Schizosaccharomyces pombe: one gene and its partners. The gene in region 1 interacts genetically with each later gene. Each region holds a gene or a part of one and is shown on either strand. Other genes may lie near its edges.

Region 1 (4,855 bases):
TAAAGTGAAGTAAAAAAAAAAAGAATAATAAGCAATTATACCTTTAATCACTTTATCTGACAATTCTACATCGGTAAGATCACTATAAATGCTTTTTATGTAATTATTTAACAAATCGGACAGCGTGTCTGGACTCTGGATGATTGAAGCGTTTGTGTCTTGTAGTTCTAACAATTTAGCTCTTTTCCTTTCCTTTTGTTTTTGGCGTTGTTTTTTTCTTTTTTCACGTTTCGCTGAATCGTTGTTTTGAGAAGCAGTAAAATTTTCAGTTATTGTAGTAGGTTGTGCAGATTCTTCATCCGAAACTGAAATTTCTGAAACTAAATCTACCTGATAATCAAGTTGATCATCCAAAGCATCAGCGTCTGTTGTCGTGTAGCTCATAATTGCATGTTTTAAAATTTTGGTGTTAGGGATACGTTCAGTTCGTGGACCGTCGAATAGTACAGGAAAAATGTAAAAAAAAATATAAATCTATCGTTTACAAAAATATAGAGTATTTGAAGGTCTATATAGAAGAAAAAAAAATAAAAGGAATTCATTTGGTTTATAAAATCGTAGATAATTTCCATTATTACGTTATGAAGGTTGTCTAAACTATGGATTAAAATTGTGAACGGAATTGACAGTAAAGAAAAGAATGAATTTGTAGACAAACAAAAGTTTAGGATAAAAACAAGGTAAGGAAAGGGATAAAAAGGGGAAAGAGGTGGAAGCATACAAAATCCAAGAAAGAGAGAATAGTGTCAAGTGTGCTTTATTGACGCAAAGGAAAAAAATATAAAAAGAGAAAAAAAAGATGGTAAGCAGTAAATAATACAGAAAATGATCTTTTAATCGTAGTCAAAAATTGTGAAACAATAGTCGATAAGAATTTCGATAGTTCTAGAGAAACTGCTAATTTCTGGGATAGTAGCTTGCTTAATGATAGTAGGTCCCCAAATAATGGCCAAATTGTTTGTCGACATTTTGTTTACATCGCTGTTTTCTTTAATTTTAGCAAGATGTATGGTTAAATGACGAATGGTAGAGTAGTTGGCATCGGGAAGATCGTTGATCGCACGATGGACGGCATCTCTTCTTCTGGATTCGTCTTCAACGTTACCTGCGTCGATAAAGTCTCTTTGATGATTGTCGGGAATTAACGGTTCACGTAGTTCACGGAAAAAGATTTTTAGTAGATCAGCGACTGCATGAACGTCGTTTTCATAGTCCTCAGGTGTATGTAATTGTAAGAGAGGATTATTCTCAAATTGAGAACGTAACATGTTGACACGGGCGGAAGAGCTGGGAACACGGTAGATGCCCTGGAGGTTGAGACCAAAATTTTCGACTTGGGAAGTGCATTGCATTACGATGTTTGGAATGTTGGAATGTTCTCGTAGAATGATTGCGTCTAATCGAGCACCAAAGAGTAACGATTTCGTAGGAGAGGAAGGTTGAGGGGAGACAGAAGTTGGTCGGAAGGGAGATGCAGCACGGTTTGAGTTGATGCTAGAAGGCGGTGGTGCGACTTCTCGAGACGTTTGAATCGTTGTCGTCTGGATGGGAGGTAAAGTAGGAAGTAGTACGGGAGGTGATTGTTGGGCAACAGGGGGCTTGTTTTCTGCATTAGAAGCGAGTGGAGAAGAGGTACGAGGATTGGAAGAAGAGGATGAAGAAGAACCGTTTGTGTCATTGGCGGTACTAGGTTTTAGGGTAGAAGCCAAAGGAGAGGCTGAAGCGGGAGCAGTAGAGGGATTGGAAGTAGATGAGTTTGGGAAGGCAGGGGAAGCCACAGAAGGGTTGGGAAAAGTGGATGGAGCAGGATTAGTGTTTTGTAGGGGAGAGGGAATAGCAGCAGTAACCTTGATGGTGGGGTTGACGGGTGGATTGGTTTTTCCGGCAGAGGAACCAGTTCCGTAAGAGCTTGGAGGTTGAATGATTTTTGTTTTAGAAGCGTCGGTTGGATTTTTGTTATCTTCATGCTTGATGGAGGCGTGAAGGACGTATTGAACAAAATCGGTATTTGCATTTATATTATCCAAAGCATGTTGTAAACCACAGTTGGTAGGAGTGGGCTTTTGTGGACGGATTGTGAGACCGTTGAGCAGGGTGTTTGACTCGCAGAGCTTTGTGTACCGTAGATAGTTTGCAATGAGTGAGCTTTCAATTTCGCGTTGAAGGGAAAAGAATTGCTTTATGTAGTTTGGTCGGTGAATACACAAAAGTTGTTTTTGAACGTTTTGAGCGTTTTCAATCTTACTGTGCATATCTGATTCTGCATTTTCGGCCTTAAGGCGAGCTTCATCTTCGAGTTTGGTGAGCTGAGCATTAGATTTTGGTTTAAAAAAACCAACCTTCTTCTGGGAGTCTCCAGTGTTTTTGTTGTCGAGAGCGCGGTTGTACTCGGTTTCGGCACCCTTAAAGCGAGATTTGGATTTATCCATTTGCATAACGGCTTCTAAATATGCGTTTTCTTGTTTTTTCGCATATTCCTTGATGGATTTTCGTTTGCGTTCTGCGTTTTTGTGAAATTCGATGACTTGATCGGAAAATGCAGAAAGAGTTTTTTGAAGGGTTAAACTGTGATTGGCAAGTTGTTCATGAATTTCCATACTCGTAATGACAGAGGCGGAAAAAGATTGGGGAGAGTGGTGTTTGGATTGAAACGTCTCTAGGTAGGATTTAGCAAGTTTTTGTAAATTTTTTCCACTTTCTTCTTCGAGAATGGAACGCTTTTTAAAGAATCCGGCGAGTTCTTTGCAAGTGAGGAGGTAGTCTTTAATGCGATCATTTAGGATTGCTAGACCAAGTTCCGAATTGAGGATCGCTTCGACTTTTGGTTCTTTGAGAACTGCGAAATCATCAGAGGAAGTGGTATTTGGAGGCGATGTTGGTGGGGAAGCGGGAGTGGTAGAGGAGGAGGGAGCCGACAGCATTGAAGGAGTTGAGTGATGGGCGGGAGCAAGAGAAGTAAATAGAGTGAGAGAATAGAAAGAGTAAAAATAACAAAAGAAGCGCGGTAAACGCGAAAATATATAAAATCACTTGAGCAAGCAAAGAATGATAGAGGAAAGAAGGGTGAATTCTTTGTTTGTAAGGAATTGGTAGTGGGTGGTTGGTTTGAGTAGTATAGCGAGTATAGAGGATGTAAACGAGGAAAGGGTAAGGAGAGGACGGTAGAGGAAGAGATAAAGAGGATTAAGGAGGTATGAGTAGTTCAAATTACGGAGATGTAACGAAGCTAAAAGTTTGGAATTGGGAGGTTGAGTGTGGGGGATGAAAATGAGTTTAAGATAGGAAGGTAAAGGAAAAGAATAAAATACAAATTGCGTTGTATAACGTTTCTGCCATACCCTTTTTAAGTGGGATGAAGTATAGTGAGGGAGGGTTGAAAAGGAAGGAAGAGTTGACTGTGGTATTCGAGGTAAGTGTCATACCCTTTCCAAGTGGGAGGTAGAGATACGTGGGGGTAAAGACTGAGGTGAGTAGGAAGGCGGTAAGGGGAAGAAGGGTATAAGGAGAAAGAGTTGATTGTGTTATTTAAGGAAAAGTGTCATACCCTTTCTAAGTGGGGGATAGCAAAATAAGGAGACAGAAAGTTGGTTGCGTTATTCGAGTAAAATGCCATACCCTTTCCAAATGGGGGAGAGGATTAGGTGAATGAAAAGAACAAATAAGTAGGATTATTCTATTGCAAGTTGTTTGTAATACTTTTTTTGTCATGAACGAATATGTAAAAACAATAATAAATCCTTAGAGCCTACTGTTAATATAATAACATTATGTTTATTCTATGACTACAGGTTTGTCAACATGTTTTATTGCGACTGTTTAATTTTTGTATTTGTTATACCGATATATTTTTAATCAGTATTATATTTTCTTAAATAACTTAATAACGAACTTGACAATGAAACGTTCCTAATTCTCATTAGACGGGAATTCTTTAGGGGACCCCACATTAAGTGGGATGAGTGCTTGCTTTGTTGTAGTAGCTATGGTAACTATTTCTTTGTTTGGGTAGGAACAAAGAAAGAGAAAGGAGAGAAAATAGTGGGTTAGCCGTGAAAGGAAAAGAGAGTGAGAAGAAGGGTAGGAAAAGAAGAGAGAGTAGTTGAAGGAAAAATATTGGAAGAGGTAGTATTTTTCTGTATGCATATGCATATGCATTTGTATAGCATACAACCTTTAATTTAATAGCCATACAACCTAATAGCCAGAAACGCCTTCCCAATTTACTGAACCCTGCTTATATGTAGTTTATAATTGTTGTGTCTTTTTTTTACGTTTAAGTTGTAATTTGATGTTAGAATTTATTACAATGGATGCAAGTTTTAACTCAATTTGATCACATAGGATTTGAATTGTAAAAAGGTCTTCTGCTGACATTATTAGTATGTATTGTGCTTTAGATTAAATTATTGTGTTTTAGTGTATTTTGTTCCTTTGTTTTTGGGTTTCTTTGTTCTGTAAGTAGTTAAATACCCTCCACACTCTACACCTACCTTGCACTCACAACTACAATGGACTCACACCAAGAATTATCAGCGGGTTCCCCTATTTCCTACGACTTTTTAGATCCAGACTGGTGTTTTAAAAGATACCTTACAAAGGATGCTCTTCATTCAATTGAAACTGGCAAAGGTGCTGCTTACTTTGTTCCTGATGGCTTTACTCCTATACTCATTCCTAACTCACAAAGCTACCTGTTGGATGGGAATTCTGCACAACTGCCAAGACCTCAACCAATATCCTTCACATTGGATCAATGTAAAGTTCCCGGCTATATTTTGAAGAGTTTACGGAAAGACACTACGTCTACTGAACGTACTCCGAGACCCCCTAATGCTTTTATATTATACAGGAAGGA
Region 2 (7,520 bases), on another chromosome or scaffold:
TGGGTGTTGAGGTCTACCCTTCCTATGGAACTTCAAAAGGATTCTCGCTTAATTGTAGATTCGGTATTGGATACTGCTTATTATGGATTTTTGATGACTGTGATCGCATTCATAGCCGTTTCTCATTGCAGTGTAGGACATTCAGAACTGCAATCTTTTTTGCAGGAACTTCTAACAGAGGAAGAAACAACCCCTTTGCATCTGGATATTACTCGCTCGTTATCTCTTTTAGTTCGCCAAGGGTATTTAGATAGAGTGAAAGATGATACCCATAACCAGTTTGTTTATTATATTGGATCCCGTGCAGTAACTGAAATTTCTATTGAAGGCTTGAAATCATTCGTTACAGAGTTCTTTCCGGATTCAGACATTGATATGGATGCTCTATTAACCGAATATCGGCAGGAGTATCAGAATCAATCTTCCTCAAGTGCAGCATAGATGACTCTTAGGTTTTTACATTATGCTCGTCTCATGTTAATGCTATTGTATACTTACTCCGCTACTACAAAAAAATTCGTAATATTATTTAAGTTCCTATATGCGTGCTAATATCTCGATATAAATTTAAGATGTATATTTGGTTATATAGCGGGAATATTATGTACAGCTGTTAAATAAAAAAAATAAAAAAATAGCTCGTAAACTTATAAGAGAAGTATATGTCAGTATATATAATATAATTAATAAAGGTTTCATCATTACAAAATCATTTAACTTCATGCGGCGCGCAACTCATCTTCAAGGCTTGCAATGCGATCTCGTAAAGCTCTCACATCTATTAACGAATCTTTGTTCACTTTTTCCAAAGAAGCAATTCGTTTTTGTAACTCCTGCTCACGTTTTTCATATTGTACTTGAACGGAAAACATTTTTGCCTTTTCGCTATTTATTTGATCCTTCAGAGCTTTCAATTCAATAGCATGAGCCAAGTTGACATGTTGCAAAGATTGGCCAGTAGGTTGAGGTGATACTTCGGCCCCTTTTAACTCATTAACTTGCTTCTCTAAGTTGTGCTTCTCAAGATTAAGACGGTCGTAGTCTCGTTTCAAGTTCTCGTATAACGCTTGATTTGCATTTCTTTGCTGTAAATCAAAAATTGTCTTTCGTTGTGGAATATTTTTCAAAACGGGTTCCGTAGTTTTGACAGCCGGTATATTATTCTCCTTTCCGGACGGTCTATGTTCTTTAAGGCGATGTATCTCTGCCTCTCGCTTCTTGCAGGAATCAAGAGCAGAATTCAGTTCCTTTCGAGTATCAACCAGCTTCATTTCTACTTCTGAAAGCTTACTACGTATACTTTCATGATCAGCAACTTTGTTCCTTAAAAGGGTGACTTCCGAACGGAGGCTTCTAGTTGTTTTTACTTCTTCTAGTACCTTTTGATACTCAACTTCAAGCTTTCGTTTACTCTCCAACTCTGATTTCAAAGAGCGTAATTCTTCGTTATCTCGACTAGCTATCAATGCTTTACGCTTTTCATCTTCAAAGGTCTTACCGAGTTGACTGTACTCGTGCATTAAGTTAGTAATCTTCCTCTCAAGTTCGGGAACCTTAGATGCTTTTGGAGAAAGTTCATTTACTTGCTTCGTCAAACTCGATACCTTATTAGAGAGATCTTTATTCTCGGAGCTCGCCAACGAAAGCTTTTCCTTGTAGGACGCCGATTGCCGAAGAAGACTTTCATGATTAAAGGTCAAATCACGATGTTTTTTCGAAAGTTCCTGAAAGTTTGTATCGACGTCTTTTAACCCCTCCAAGTCCAGCTGAAGTCCTTCATATTTTTTCTTGTAATTCTCCAAGTCGCTAACTTTAAGAAGTAAATTCTCATGGATTTCTTGCAATTCAATGTACTTTAAAGAAGCATCTGACAAATTTTGGCATTTCTCTTCCTTATTTTCAAGCTCTTTCGTTAACGATTTGATGTTATTTAAACATTCTTTAACTTTGGCTTCCAGTTCTTTATTTTTGGTAGCCTGGAGCTGATAAAGTTGATCTTTGTCATTCAAGGATTCTAGTTCTTTCTTCAATTTCGGAAGCTGTTTGACATCGGCTTCCAAATAATTAACCTTCTCTTCTAAGTTATTTATTGTTAACTCTTGCACTCCTTTCAAGACGCTTAACTCTTCTTTCTGCTGTTTTAAAATAGAGACGTCGCTTATAAGAGTAGAATTTTCACGTTCTAATTTTTTGACTCGTTTGAGACTCTCAGATAAAGAACCTTCCTGCTGAATACTCTTTTCATTCATCTTCTGATTTGTCAGTCTCATTTCTTGAATTTCAGTTTTATAGTCAGAAATATATTTAGTGAGTTTATCAAGTTCAGCATCCTTGGTAACGATAGTTTCCTGTAAACTTTTACATTGTTCATTGAACTCTGCTTTTTCTGATAAAACAGTTGCATTGTTCTCACGTAAAGACTCAAGTTCTCCCTTTGTATCTAGCAAATCCTTCTCTTCCAAACTCAGTTTTTCTTTCAGTTCGTTCTGTTCTGATAACAAAGTCTCAACCTTGGAAGTTTTTTCTAGTAACTCACTTTCTAATTCGTTATTAATCTGTTTCAATGACGCTGACTCTCGTTGCAAATTTTCATTTTGCTGTTTTGTTTCGCTAAACGAATCTTCTATGTTTGCAAGCCTTTCCTGTGTTCGACGTAATATTTCCTCCTTATCAAGGGCTATCGCACGTTCAGTAGTAAGCAAATTTTCAACAGCAGTTAAAGAATTGTTGGTCTCGACGAGATCACGCTCTACCTCAGATTTTGAATTCTGTTGTTTTTTCAGCTCGTACTTCAGCTCTATGATTTCAGCATCTCGCTTTTTAAGCTGCTTATCATTTTGAGTACTACTTAATAAGGGCCTTAGATTGAAAAATAACTTAGCCCAAGGAAAAGTTCTAAATTCATTGTACACTTGCAAATTTGCTTGTAGTAATTTGATGGCTTGTATGTCCTTCAATCGCTTTTGAAAAATTTTTCTTTGAAGAAAGCCACGGATCCTTGTTTGTAGCATAGTCATCAGTCTTTGTAAAGTCGCTACGCGCCTCTCCTCTAATTCTGCTAAAACACCTGCTTTGAAAAATATTTTTGAAACACCAATTCGATAAGATGCTTCGTCAATTTTCAACTCCTCCAAAATCATGACAGAAGCACGTCGAGATTCCACATAGGTACCTGTTGGTAAATGCGCCATTATCTCATATCTGACTCTAAAATCATTAAATGGTAAACGGTTAGGAAAACCAGCCCTTGTGATTCTGATTCCTTCCAAAACACCATTACATCGAAGTTGTCCTAAAACGAGGGGTCTATTAAAGGTGTGCATTTTCTTTTCTTCGTTTGGAACAATACAACGAATAAAGTGAGGTTGGGTCGAGTTAAATTGATTCATAAGCTGATTGAGCTGCTCTTTATGCCTTTGAGCAACAGTTCGAAAAAGGCCCTTTTTCGTCCTTCCCCTAACAGTTTTAGTCTCAGTTTCCTGATAATCAGAAAATAGTGTAGCGACATGCTTGTTAGTAGATTGCGCAAGCAACTTAGCAACGTTTTCATTCAAAGGATCGGTGTTCTTCTCCAGCCAACCTTCTGTACTGTAAGGAACATCAGCGGCATAATGAGTCAAAATAAAACCTTGATCGGCAAACTTAAAAGGTTTATATTTTAGCGACTTGTTCCTCCAAAGAGCATCAAGTTTAGAAGTAAACGTAGCATCAGTTGCTTTCGGCATAACACATTCTTCATCCAAACATGAAAGAATACCTATTGGGTTTGCTTTCTCGATTAAATCAATAGTCGGCTGTAAATCATGTCCAAAATCAATGAAATCCCATACAATTTCTTCTTTCATATATTCTTCTTGCTCCAATACGAACATGTGATGGTTAAAGAATTGTTGCAACTTTTCATTTGTGTAATTAATGCAAAGTTGTTCAAAACTGTTTTTCTCAAAGATTTCGAAACCGGCGATATCTAAAATACCAATAAAGTAGCTTTGGGCATTGGAATGGTTCAAGGAAGTGTTAAGTCGCTTTACCAGCCATCCAAAATTCCTTTCGTATATGGCTTTTGCTAATGCTTCAATGGACGAAATGACTTGAGTTTGACTTCGAGCGCTGATAACCCATTCATGGCCTGCTTTAATACGAGGTCGAACAAGATTTTGTGAAAATAACTCCGGAGACACACCAAGCAAATGACAGAGCTTGTCAATCTCATCAGGATTGAGAAGACGAGCTATACCAGAGCGATCAGCACCGACATCAATATTTCCCATATGTAGAATAATGGAAAGTATATTAAATAAATCAAAGTTCTCTTTATCGTCAAATCCAAGAGTTTTAAAAGCAGCTAAAAGAGTTTTAAACTCTTCTTTATCGTCAACTCCATCAATAATGTGAACCGAATCCTTCAAATATCGATAATCATTACAGTTATCGGTTAAAAGAAGTTTGTTCTTGAGAGCAGTATCAGCACCACTTAAAAGCTGATAAAAAACATGGTAGTTTCTTTCAAACTCGTTCTGATGAACAACGCGAGATTTTTCAAGAAGATACCATTCTATGGCGGCATTCGAAATTTCCCCACTCAAAGAAAACTCAACTTTAATGAATTTTCCAAAACGAGAAGAATTGTTGTTGCGTACGGTACGAGCATTACCAAATGATTCGAGCACAGGATTCGTTTTAATGATCTGCTCTTCAACCTGACTAGAGCCAACGGTAGTCGAGCTAGCAATTGCTGCAAGATATTGGATGATTCTTTTGGTATTCTCTGTTTTACCTGCGCCGGACTCACCAGTTACAAGAATCGATTGATTTTCCTTATTTTCTAAAAGGTTATTGTATGCTAAATCCGCGATTGCGAAGACATGAGGTAGCTTGCGCTCTTGTGTTTTATCTTTGTACAATTGAATGATGTCCTTCGTATAGATTGGTAGTCCACAATAAGGATTGACCGCAACGAGAAAGAGCCCAGAATAGGTATAAATTTGATCAGAGAGATATCTCTGTTCAAGATTGTATGTGACTGCAGGCTCGTTTAAGTATGTCAACTCAGCCATGTCATTGACTCTATCAAACTTGGCAGGATTCACCGGATCAATTTCATCCTCACCAACGATCTTCTCATCCCTGGAATTATTATACCGAACAACATATTTCTTGTCTGGCAGATCCTCTTTAATCCAAGCCTTGGTAAAGGCAGTCTCTGGGTCGGAAATCCAAACCCATCGTTTATCATCAATATCCTTCAGACTAGTTGCACCATCTTTTGCAGTTATTTTATTAGATATTACTTCTGTCATCGGGCTACTCTCTAAGACGGTTATTTACCGCCTTTCCTGAAAATAAACAATGCGGTGTACAATACCAAAACCTTGTAAAACAATAAGGATAGACCAAAAATCAAAGAGTGAAAAAATCCAAAAAGATAGCAATAGATATATCCGAAAAGAAGGATCAACAAATGCACAGAGAAAACGTTAAAGAACTATGTTGTTGGATACTTTTTGTACTCCCCGTTGAACGCACAGCAATTAATGATTTAAGCACTTGAACATTCGATTAACGCATGCGTTAATCGAACGTTTATGTACTTGATCATATTTGCGTTAAAACATTTAGTATAGGTTAAGGTAGCATCCAGAAACATTCCTATAACATAATGATTTTAATATCACAATTAAGAAGGTATATATATCTTTTAAAAGAAATAATATTAATAGATGGAGGTCATTATATACTCGGTCTTTTGCAATTAAAGTCCTGACAAATTTTTAAAGCTTTACTTTCATCAAGATTGAAGATATTAAGTAATAATTGAAAATACATTGTACTAATACTCAAAACATCAAATGAACGTAGGATTAGGGGTTACGGTTTAATCGAAATTTCATGTTCCCCCGTGCTTTTAGGTAAAATGATTGTATAAAAAACTCCCGCTATTACAGATATATGAGTAATTTGTGACTAGATACGCAAATAATATGTTCCTCATCGTACCGAACACAACTTTTAAAGCAAATAACTAAACTCGGCATTTATTTATCTACATTTTATATATAGCACTCTAATCATGCCTCTTACTGAATAATTATAAGAACACGCTCTAGCTAATAATCGCAATCAGTAATTATTATGTGCTTACTGACCATCTACAGCTATGGCCCTGGTAATAATCAATAAGTAAATATACAGAAATGTTAGTTGCTTCAGTTAGTGTTTGAAAGAAAGCATGGTGCTTCAATGTGTAACCACATCTTTAAACTTATGATCAAAACATGCAGAATACCATAACCAGTTACGTAAAAAAACAACAATGTTCTCTGTTTTCATCAACTGTAGTCGGCAAGTTTATGCAACTTGTACAATAAGCCAATTTTGGCTTAACACTGAACATAATGATAGTAGCGATCATTTTAAGTAATTAAAAAATGTTAATGCATGCAGATTTTAATATTCCTTTGTGATAAAATGGGTAGGGAAATGTAAAAAAAAAAAAAAAGAAGAAATAAAATTTCAAGGCTGCGATAAAATATGATTCGAAAGATGCAGGATGTTCCGTAAAACAAAATAAGATAAACGTTTCCGATATTCAAAAGTATGGATGAGTAAAAAAGACAATCATGGCAAGAAAACTTGTAATAAATATGATAATTATCAATCTTCAATTATGAAGGAGTTTGTTTTTGCCTTATTTAAAGCGAGTATCAAATGGCGATCGTGATACTGAGGATGAACCATGCCAAACATTATATATTTCCCATTGGCTAGCCAATCACTGTTACTAGGGTAGTATTTAATGTCATTTCCTTGGATAATTTGATTAAGTTTCCTAGTTCGCGTGTTCCATATTTCGACAAATTCATCATTAAATGCAATGAGATATCCATGACAGCTGGTAACAGAGTTCGGTTTGCCAATCCAATCAAACCAACACTCTTTATTAACCATACTACCCTCTCCATTGACAAACACGGCACCGAATTGATAGCAGCATGCAAATAAGCTAGGATCGTGGATGCGAAAGACGCCAAGCGGCTTACTGTTGTTGATTCGGTTCCGAAACAACGTATCATTAAGCACTGAAGGGCTTGGAAAACCAACTGCTAATTTAGGGTCCAAACGCAGAACGTCAATGCCTTTATTGTGACAAAGAGCAATTGAATACTTAAAGCAATCAATTGAATGACAGTTAGCCGTTACGTGAAAATCATCCAGAGTTCTGAAGGAAGTAACATCTTTTCTCTTGAAGGCATATGTTTTCTGATAGTTATGTCCTAAGCCGATCACTGGTTCACAGCAAATTATGGTTGTAGTATTACCGAGTCCCTCTTTATAAAAAACCAAAGTTCGCTCACGTTTAACAGAAGCCCCCTCAGACAATTTACCTATTTTAAAGAATGATACGGCATGCGGAGTTCCAATGACAACTGCAATTTTGGATTCGATCAGACCCATTTCAATAATACGACTTAATTTATGAGCATAAAGGGTTTTGTCACGTAGCTCTAATAGGATATCAA
Region 3 (4,687 bases), 1.4 Mb from region 1:
TGACGTCGTTTTTCCCTTTTATTTTTCCCGTTAGCCTTTACTGGAATCAAGGTCGCCCGCCTTCTGCTTTATTTCATTGCTAGTAATGGATGCCATAGCGGCAATTGCCAAAATTTTCTCCTAAAAAAAACTGTTCCTTTTATATAGGATTTGCGCATCATGATTTGCTTTCCCAAAAAACAACGGAATCTGTACGACCTTTTTTGCAGGTATTTGTAAAGGCTTTCCCTTTCTATTGTAAAACTTCATTCGCGTCTCGAATATCATCTTACATATTTTTTCTGATTTATAAAAATATGCACATAATTTCATATTCGACCGCTTTGCATTTCATTATAAGACGCTTCTACTTGAAGAGAGCTATCCTTGTGCACGAATGTTGTTTAATTGTTGCAGGATACAAATTCATGACTGATGTATTTATTCATCTATTTTGTCTTGGTTAGTTAGTTTTGTGATTTCATTGGGATGTTCCCTAATAAAGGAAATTACTCTACCACAGATATACTCGTTCACTAGTAAAAGTAATATTTTTAAGTAATTAGCTGTTCTATTTATATATTTTTCTAGTTGTAGTACGGGTGTATATGCATGCATGTATGTATAACAAAATGTTTCAAGCTGTGAGACTATAAAGCGTGCAAGAAAAGGGAGCACAAAGATCGCCAAATATTATATGCAAAACAGTAAATGAAGGACTAATGCAAATGAGTATTTTTTATGGAAATTAAACGAGCAAACAGAGATTCGACAGTAGCCAGCAAAGCTCAAAAGATAGCAATAGCTAATTTATGTAAAAATGAGAAAACGCAATGAATGATTTGTATGCAAATGTTACCGTAAAAAGGCTCAATAAAACCAGCTGCTGCCAATGTATTAGTTATGGCGATTATCATCAGACTTATGGTCTATAGCAGCAGTTTCATTATAAGAATGATCATGGCGCTTTTTGTTAGAGGTTTGAGAGGATGAAGAGCTACTAACATTGAAAGAACCATTGTCATTAGATGGAACGGTTTGGGCTGGTTGCGGGATGTTGACTGTTGGGTTTGTTGGATGAGAGCGGCGTCGGACTTTCTGACGGAAGTTTAAAACTTCATCTAAAATGACACGGCGTAACTCATTTGCATCCTCAATGTATTCAAAGCTGAAATCAAAGACGGAATCACACACAGGTTCGTCAGAGGGATCATGCCAAACAGCTAAATAGGGATGTTCTAAAGCATCGTCAACCGAAATACGTCTGTTGGGGTCGAAAGCCAAGAGCTTAGCAAGCAGGTCAAGAGCCAAAGGATTGGCTTTAGGAAAATTGGTTTCAAAAGGAATAGGTCTTTGCTTTGGCAAGCTTCGAACATACTCCTGTGCACGGGAACTGCTTATATGAGACAGGGTTTCCTCATCAGGTGTGCCAAGTTGATGCAAAATTAAATTTAACTGATGAACAAAATCTTTTCCCTTAAACAAAGGGGTTCCACCTAATAGCTCTGCCAAAATGCAACCAACACTCCAAACATCAATACCTTTATGATAGCTGCTGAACGAAAGCATAATTTCCGGAGCTCTGTACCAGCGCGTTGCCACATACTCCGTCATAAAACCAGGATTTTCTTCTGGATTTTCAGAACATCCGCGAGCGAGGCCAAAATCGCAAATTTTCAGCTCACAATCAGCGTTAACTAAAAGATTACCTGGCTTTAAGTCACGATGAATAACGTTGGCAGAATGAATATACTTTAAACCACAAAGTATCTGGTAAATGAATGATTGAAAATGCGCATCCGTTAATGGCTGACCGGATTTAATAATAGCATTCAAATCGGCCTCCATCTATTATAATAGTTAGTAAGTAATTATACAAATATTTCCGTGACTAAAACAGACACCATATGTGGATCATCGCGTAACATACCAACTCTTCGTAAATGTAAACTTCATTAAAATTGTATGGATTTATAATGTCGAGATCGTAAATGCAAGTAATCTACCATGTTAGTAAAGTTTATAAAAAATAGGAAAGACATCACTATGCAAATGTAAGACAATGAGCAGTTCAAATTTTTTAATCAACCGAATTCCAAACATTATATCAAGATTTATAAAGGAAATACTTTTCAAGGATGATTAGAACTCATTTCTCATAGAAGACTTTTCATTGTATAAAAATTTGCATTTTCATCAAAATGCACCTCGTTAATACATCCCGGTGATGATGAGTAATCAATCACAGGAAGCCGTTTTTGCATAAAAGACTTACGTTACGATGATTACGAAAATGAATCAGCAGTTTTATCTCTCTCAAAGCTCTTTTTGTAAGAATGGATTTAGAAAACACATTCGTAATTTTTTTTATGGCTACAGCCTCTTGATCTTTGCTAGCCACGTTTCTTGCTGCACAAACAATGCCGTAAGCGCCTTGACCCAACTCCTTCACTACCTAAACTATGTTAGTTTTCCTAAAAGTTCAAGCAGATGCGATTTTCTGTCAAGTAAACAAAATGTTTTGCAAATGCAGCAGTTACCCAAATATCTCATACCTTAAAATTAGGCTCGACATACATCTCCTGGTTAAACACACGGTAAACACGATGTCGACGGTCCATCCTTGCGACTTATAGCATGCAACTTGAATTTTTAGCTGTTTGGCAAAAGGGATGTGGAAAAAACTACAGTACATCACTTGTAGTGATTAACGATGCCTTATATTTCACTATTTGAATGCAAGTCGGTTAGATTTGAAGACTATCAGATGGAATTTATGGTATTAAAGAATATGCATACAAATCTAATAAATATATGAGGAATACTAAAAGAAACTAGGTCCAGAGTTCAAGACTACCAAAAGCGTCAACAATAAGCACTATAGCGTACGGTTGGTACAAGAAGGCCATGTCAACGATGGGGTGCAGACGATTTTCGCTAGGTAGATTCTTTTGCTGTTGAAGGAATAGAAGAGGCCTTGACACTCCCGAAGACTTTGGGCGTACATTCTGTTGTTCAGAGACTTTTTGGTAGATAGGAGGTTTGTTATGTATTAAAGATAGTTTTGAACTCTCGGAGTCGTTGGTCACCGACGAACTAGCAGAGACATTGTGGGGATTCCAAATAAACGCATGAGGGCTTCCAGAAGCGGCAATGAGAAAAAGTGGCTCTCGTTCGACAGAACCTGCAGACGGACCTCTGTACCTATAGATTGGACTAGATATACAAGGCCAAGGAGAGTCGAATTTGGTATTCAAATCTCTTAATCCCATGTCATTGCCAGAATCTATATCAAACTTTTTTTTTTCATTAAAAGCATCAATTCCAACAGATACCGGAATCGGACTGGTGAGTGAAGAATTCCAGTTTTCTAAGAAAACCTCTTCGGTTTTCCCTTTTTCAACGTCAAAATTTACTATGCCTGAAGCGGATCTGTGACTCGCTGGAACTGCATCTTCAAGATTAACTTCTTTATTATCCAAGTTGGTAAGGACGCTAAAACTGATACTGACTGTAGTGCTTCCAAACGAGTTTAACATTCCGTGATTTTCTAAAGGATTGATGGGAATAGTAGAGTTAATTGGCTGAGTACTACTTGAACTTGTACTTGAGCTACCTGGAACCTTGGTAACGGGACTATTGTTATTTCCGGAAGTATACTCATTAACGTTGCTACGTTTTTTGGTAACATCTAAAAGAAGATGCATCTGATCAATCCTGGCTGGCATATGCCAAGAGCATGATAATGTCCCAAAGCGGAGGTCCCAAAGTAAGAGCCATCCTTTGGTAGTCCCAATTAAAGCCCAATTACAACCCTCAGAAACTACTACACTAGTAGCTGACCCACACTGTAATGGTAATTGGTCTGATGACAAAACCCTCATCATTCCCACGTCTAAGTATACGATGCGTGACCATTTTGTAACAACGACTAGACGGATACTCCCGTCGTGAAATGTAGAAGCTTCCATGGAGGTTACAGAATCACTGAAATCCAAATTGGGAATACGACCAGCCGAAATTAGAGTATGCCGCTGATTGTTAACGTCAAGTCTGTGAACTTCCACAGAGCCATCTTGAGTAACAGAAGCAAAAGCGTATGTATTACCTAGAAAGCATCCATTGACCACAGAAAATCTATTCCTCTCGCCATTACGTCGCGTATGCCCATAACTTAATCGGCATTCACATCTCATAGTTGAAATATGACGAACACTTTCAACTAATTGCCATGCTCTTACAACACCGTCAGATCCCAAGGTAACGAAAAAAGATGAATCTGGACTAACCAAAACTTTCTTCGTACCTCCATCAAGAAGGCTTCCTAAATATATCTGAGCAACTCGTGATCCTTCTGGATGCCATTCATGAGTCTGAACTATTTTATTCGCAGCCTTCGCAGACACCTTTGTTCTACGACGCAAAGGTATATTAGAAGCCCAGCTTGGTGAAACAGCAGCACCAACGTTAAGTGTCGAAGCCGCTGCTTCTGCATAAATTTTATTTAAATAATTTAAGACGCATGGATTAGTTCCAGTATACGATGATTTTTTTGCGCCATTTTGCCTCGTGGTAAGCTTTTTCAAATCGATATGAGTAGTAAATGATCTTTGGCTTCGAATACCGGCAACATTAGTTGTATCATTCGTTGAAACCCTAGAAGAGATCAACGGTGCGAGGCTTTTCCCCTTCGATTCTTTAGCATGTT
Region 4 (4,255 bases), 250 kb from region 1:
GTAAACGTCGGCAAGGACCACAAAATCTTCTAACAGCTAAAAGTGTTAAAGAGCCAGAACATTTGTTTAGCATAAGGTACAGTAGCTTCTGAAATCTCAAAAATTAAAGATGTTTGATCTTTTTTCCTGATAAAGTAGTCAATAATATATAGATATTAATACCTGGATTGAAACGTATATTTTGTGGATGGAAAGTTAAGTGGGTATTAAACGCTTTGATAATGATCTCGTATTTTCATTCCTCAAAAGAAATTTAATTGCTAATATTTTAAACTTTTACTTCTGGTTATACTACTATAAGAATGGATTATACAAACTTAAGGAAGAGGTGTGGAAAAATTTTACTCACAATGAGCTTAATATCTAATAAAATTGTAACTGATTTAAGAGTGTAACCGTATACTGGGCTATTAGATAACAAAATGCAATCGTTATATATATTAAGCCTTACTCAGATTTAAATGCTTACTACATCTTTACTTTCAAAGCCACATACATGAAAGTGGAAACGCCGACATAAGTGCAGCCGATGTGATATTCAAACCACATAAAAAAGGAAAGTAGTACATTATATAAGCAGGTTTAAAGCTGTTTTTATTAAACTAAAACCTACTCTGAATAAAGTGAGATTTAAACTGTTGACACAATTTAAAATAAATAGTCAGTTGTACAAAAAAGCAACCAAATAGTGACCAAAAGTCCCACTTGCTAAATCTAGTGAATAAATAAAACAATGAAGACATATTCAATAGAAATTGATTTGATGTCGAAGAACAGGAATACTTTTTAAAACAAAACAAAAACAAGAAGACCATTATTTTTACTCATAGCTTTTGAAACCAAACAAAAAAACGAGGGACAAATAAATAAACAAAGTGGGTATTTAATTGCAAACCAAAGGCTTGCAAATATCGAAAAACACAGGGAAATACAGAGGTAAGGCTTATGATCAACAATATCGGGATTTACATTTGTAGTAAAGCACAGATTGAGCTTGAAAAATGTAACTTCCTAAGATAACAGGACAATGTCATCATTCAAATAAGCAAACATATTATTTTTGGAAAAATCTGAAGCTCGCACAATCCTAACGTTTTCTTCGAGGACAACGCCTCCGTGGCTTTGGCGAACGTCAAGGACTCGGGTTTGAATTTCATTAAGTAAGGCTTGACTTCGTGATCGTTCCACTGGGGAAACAATAATTGGGTTTGTTATTTCAATGTTTCTAGCACGATATAATTGTACTTTGATGACTAGCATGTATTGTACAGAGTAAAGATCAGAGGTGGTCGTGAATCCAGTGATATTTGCATCTTCAAAATCAATGTCGGGGAAAGGTTTAGAAAGGCTTTTCGATAAACCTTCCGATGTAAGTTTCATATCATCCAAATCTTCTTCGTAACGTAATACTTTCTTTTTACGAACTATTGGGCTTGAAGAAGAGGGATGTATGAACGTGATGTATTCAACCAAGGAAAGAGAAAGTTGCTGTACTCGTATTTTAGAACCATTATTAGGCATGATGGAAACGAAGACGGAGACGAGATCCGAAGGTCCAATACACAGTTTGGGTATTGATACCTCTACTACAACACGACCATCGCTACTCACTTGCCGAATATTAGTAGGGGAATTATACATCCCCCAAGAAGATAGATTATCATACCTGCTGAGTGACACTGGTACAGTGGTAGTAATATCCGGTACCCCTAGTAAACTCATGTGAGCACGTAGTTCATATTTCGTGGAGCATATTGTACCAGACCGATTCAATTCAAAAGTCGATGGAATTTCTGAATTTTCGGGAAACGGGATTTCAAAGGGAAGGTCCATTGACCATACCCTATGAGTAGCGTAAGGATCTGAAGAAGAAGAGAGTATAGGAGTTTGGTCACCAAAAGGAGTGATAGATGTGTCATTAGAGGAAGATGTGGTGGATACTGATCTAAACGGAGTGTAAGGAGGTTGATATACCGAAGATCCAGAGGCATTAGGAAGATGAGGTGGAGGGATAGGTGGAGTAGTACGGTTATGAGTATGAACAGAAGGATTATCCTGATCAGACGCATAAGAATCTACTATCCAATCGCTAGTAAGGGAGGGTGGAGGTGATTTGATAGACAAATCGCTGATAGAATAATTATTATCATTAGGAGGTATGTTATTTTCAGGATGCTCGGAATGAAGTGGAAACAAAACCTGCCTTGCCAGACACTTATTATCTGATAAGTGATTACTTATACCCAAGGATGGTATTACCACTGATTCAATTTTCCATAATTCTAACGTTATTTGAACCAAAGCCAAAGGTTGGTGAATTTCTTTACTTCGAACTTGGACGATACCAACCAACCTTGGAGCTGAAGTTGGTATCCCATTAAATCCAGCTTGGAAATCCAAATGTGGTAACGGACGTATCTCCAAAGGAGAAAATTGCCGTATTAGCGTACACGGGGATGTCATGCTCTTACATTTAGTGAGTTCCTCTGGCTTGGTGCTGGTTATGGGAAGTTGAATCTACCAAATGGTAGACAGGTTGGTTCAGTGCAGCAATGTCAGATCTAGATAGCTAAATAAAATCTTTTAAGCACTCGCTTAAACACTGCTAAGTGACTTTTTATAGCAATGAAATTAATAATATTTTATTATATAAAAATCTAATTTTAGGCCAAAAAATGTACTTTTGTTTCCATTCCATAGAATTAAAATCAAAAGCCTACAATTGATAGCCAAGCATCTAAAGCTAGTATCTGTTGTAAAAAAGTTCCATTTTGATTACAATAGTAAAAACTAAAATGACTTTAATAGCCTAATTTTGAAATTGGTATTTTCAACTTAAAATTCACTTACGAAAGCCTAAAATATGTTTATTCTTACAGCAGAAGGCTTTTTTTTTGAATTTTTGAATTTTTGAAACCATAACACACGATTGATCGCAACATACATATACGAAATATAGAAGAGAGACTGAATTCAAACGAAAACAATATAGCAAGATATCAGATTATTGAGCAGCAGAAGAAAGGGAAATAAAGCAAGTAAATACTATTTTACTAAAAATCAAACGAATCTCTAAAAGAACAGATATTTCACGCATAGTTAACAGACAATGCATAACAAAAAATTCAAAATCGAGAAAAACAAGAATCAAGAGCAACTGGTAATGCTAATTTTTGATAGTTATATGAGCCGTAGTATGATAAAAAACCCCGGCGATAATTGAGGAAATTCATTGCTGATGTACGACTCTTTTCTATCTAGGAAATAATGATTGTTTGAAGGATAACCTGAATATAGGGCTTTCTGTTCATTCAAAGATCCCTTCAGGAAGTGTTAAATGGTTTGTATAAAACTAACTCACATTTTCCGATTTATCTTTTCATTTTCAGGGCATATATCAGAACTTAAAACAATTTACTAGTAGCGATACGCTACCACTTACTTATTAAACGCTTAAAAGAGTAACACAGTGTACTGTCATGAATGTATATTTTATAAAAGCAATATGATATTTAATTTACATTAATATACTTGTAAGCTTCTCACGGCTAAAAGTAGTGATAGCCCACATTGAAGTAGGATTTTAGTGTAATGAAATCAAACACAGTAGGCCCTAAAGATAAACGGACACTTACATGTTAAGCAACATAATTTAAAATCTTACAAGCAAAGCTAGCGGCTCGAAAGCCAAACATTGTAATATAAACACAAAAAGTAGTTTGTTTACAGTAAATACCGCAATACTCGTATAACGAGGTATTTTCACAACGTAAGCAAGAACGCGCTCATCCTTCCAGGTTGTTGTGTGTCACAGCCTCTCGCGATTCACCCTTTACAATTCACTCGTGAATGATAGGAAAACGCAATGCGTCAAAAAGGACGCGTCAGGATGATTGTATTACATATGAAGAGTATCAAAGGAAACGTAAAAAGACATTTTTGAACACGTTTGTTAATATTTGTTCTCGTACAGTTACTTATGCAAAACTTTTTTTGACAAAAACTCCCATTTCTGAATTGGATCGCATCGCTGGCGAGGCGATACCATCTAATAGTAATAGTACAAATTCAAAACTAGAGCCTTCTACTAAAGCCCCTGAATCTCGGTTTTCTCACATAAATTCCAAGACTGAACGTGGTTACGTGACGGTCGAATCTGATATGTCTTCTCACAATACTCTTGACAGAAATAGTAAACCTACCGTTTCTCATTCATATACAAATTCTAGTAAGGATGAAAAATTTTTGGATCCCA

The links.
Region 2: mutations in rga7 (region 1) and myo2 are lethal when combined (synthetic lethality), as found in Schizosaccharomyces pombe (2 studies listed by BioGRID, with this or other methods).
Region 3: of rga7 (region 1) and pmk1, changing one suppresses a phenotype caused by changing the other (phenotypic suppression), as found in Schizosaccharomyces pombe (one study listed by BioGRID).
Region 4: mutations in rga7 (region 1) and art1 impair growth when combined (synthetic growth defect), as found in Schizosaccharomyces pombe (one study listed by BioGRID).

The regions. Positions count from the first base shown.
Region 1 is NC_003423.3:2,109,974-2,114,828, forward strand, and holds rga7 (Rho-type GTPase-activating protein Rga7), read right to left. Parts: upstream 3,103-4,855; 5' UTR 2,922-3,102; coding exon 834-2,921; 3' UTR 512-833; downstream 1-511. Other genes in the region: cms1 (U3-containing 90S preribosome complex subunit), read right to left, coding at 42-384; mat1-Mi (M-specific transcription factor Mi), read right to left, coding at 4,246-4,374; mat1-Mc (M-specific transcription factor Mc), read left to right, coding at 4,509-4,855.
Region 2 is NC_003421.2:1,232,731-1,240,250, forward strand, and holds myo2 (myosin II heavy chain myo2), read right to left. Parts: upstream 5,507-7,520; 5' UTR 5,301-5,506; coding exon 720-5,300; 3' UTR 501-719; downstream 1-500. Other genes in the region: Smc5-6 complex non-SMC MAGE family subunit Nse3, read left to right, coding at 1-441; RhoGEF for Rho1, Rgf3, read right to left, coding at 6,655-7,520. UniProt on the Schizosaccharomyces pombe protein: Required for cell division. It is a component of the cdc12 'spot', a structure thought to mark the site of septation. May work in conjunction with myo3.
Region 3 is NC_003423.3:728,773-733,459, reverse strand, and holds pmk1 (MAP kinase Pmk1), read right to left. Parts: upstream 2,645-4,687; 5' UTR 2,601-2,644; coding exon 2,535-2,600; exon of another isoform or gene 2,435-2,534; coding exon 2,255-2,434; intron 1,982-2,254; coding exon 1,910-1,981; intron 1,828-1,909; coding exon 877-1,827; 3' UTR 508-876; downstream 1-507. Other genes in the region: serine/threonine protein kinase Vps15, read right to left, coding at 2,814-4,687. UniProt on the Schizosaccharomyces pombe protein: Regulates cell integrity and functions coordinately with the protein kinase C pathway (pck1 and pck2). Involved the regulation of wall architecture, cell shape, cytokinesis in exponential and stationary phase, and metabolism of ions.
Region 4 is NC_003423.3:2,363,268-2,367,522, forward strand, and holds art1 (arrestin-related substrate adaptor for RhoGEF, Art1), read right to left. Parts: upstream 2,547-4,255; 5' UTR 2,464-2,546; coding exon 1,012-2,463; 3' UTR 548-1,011; downstream 1-547. Other genes in the region: PPR repeat-containing protein Ppr3, read right to left, coding at 1-73; SUMO deconjugating enzyme Ulp1, read left to right, coding at 3,850-4,255.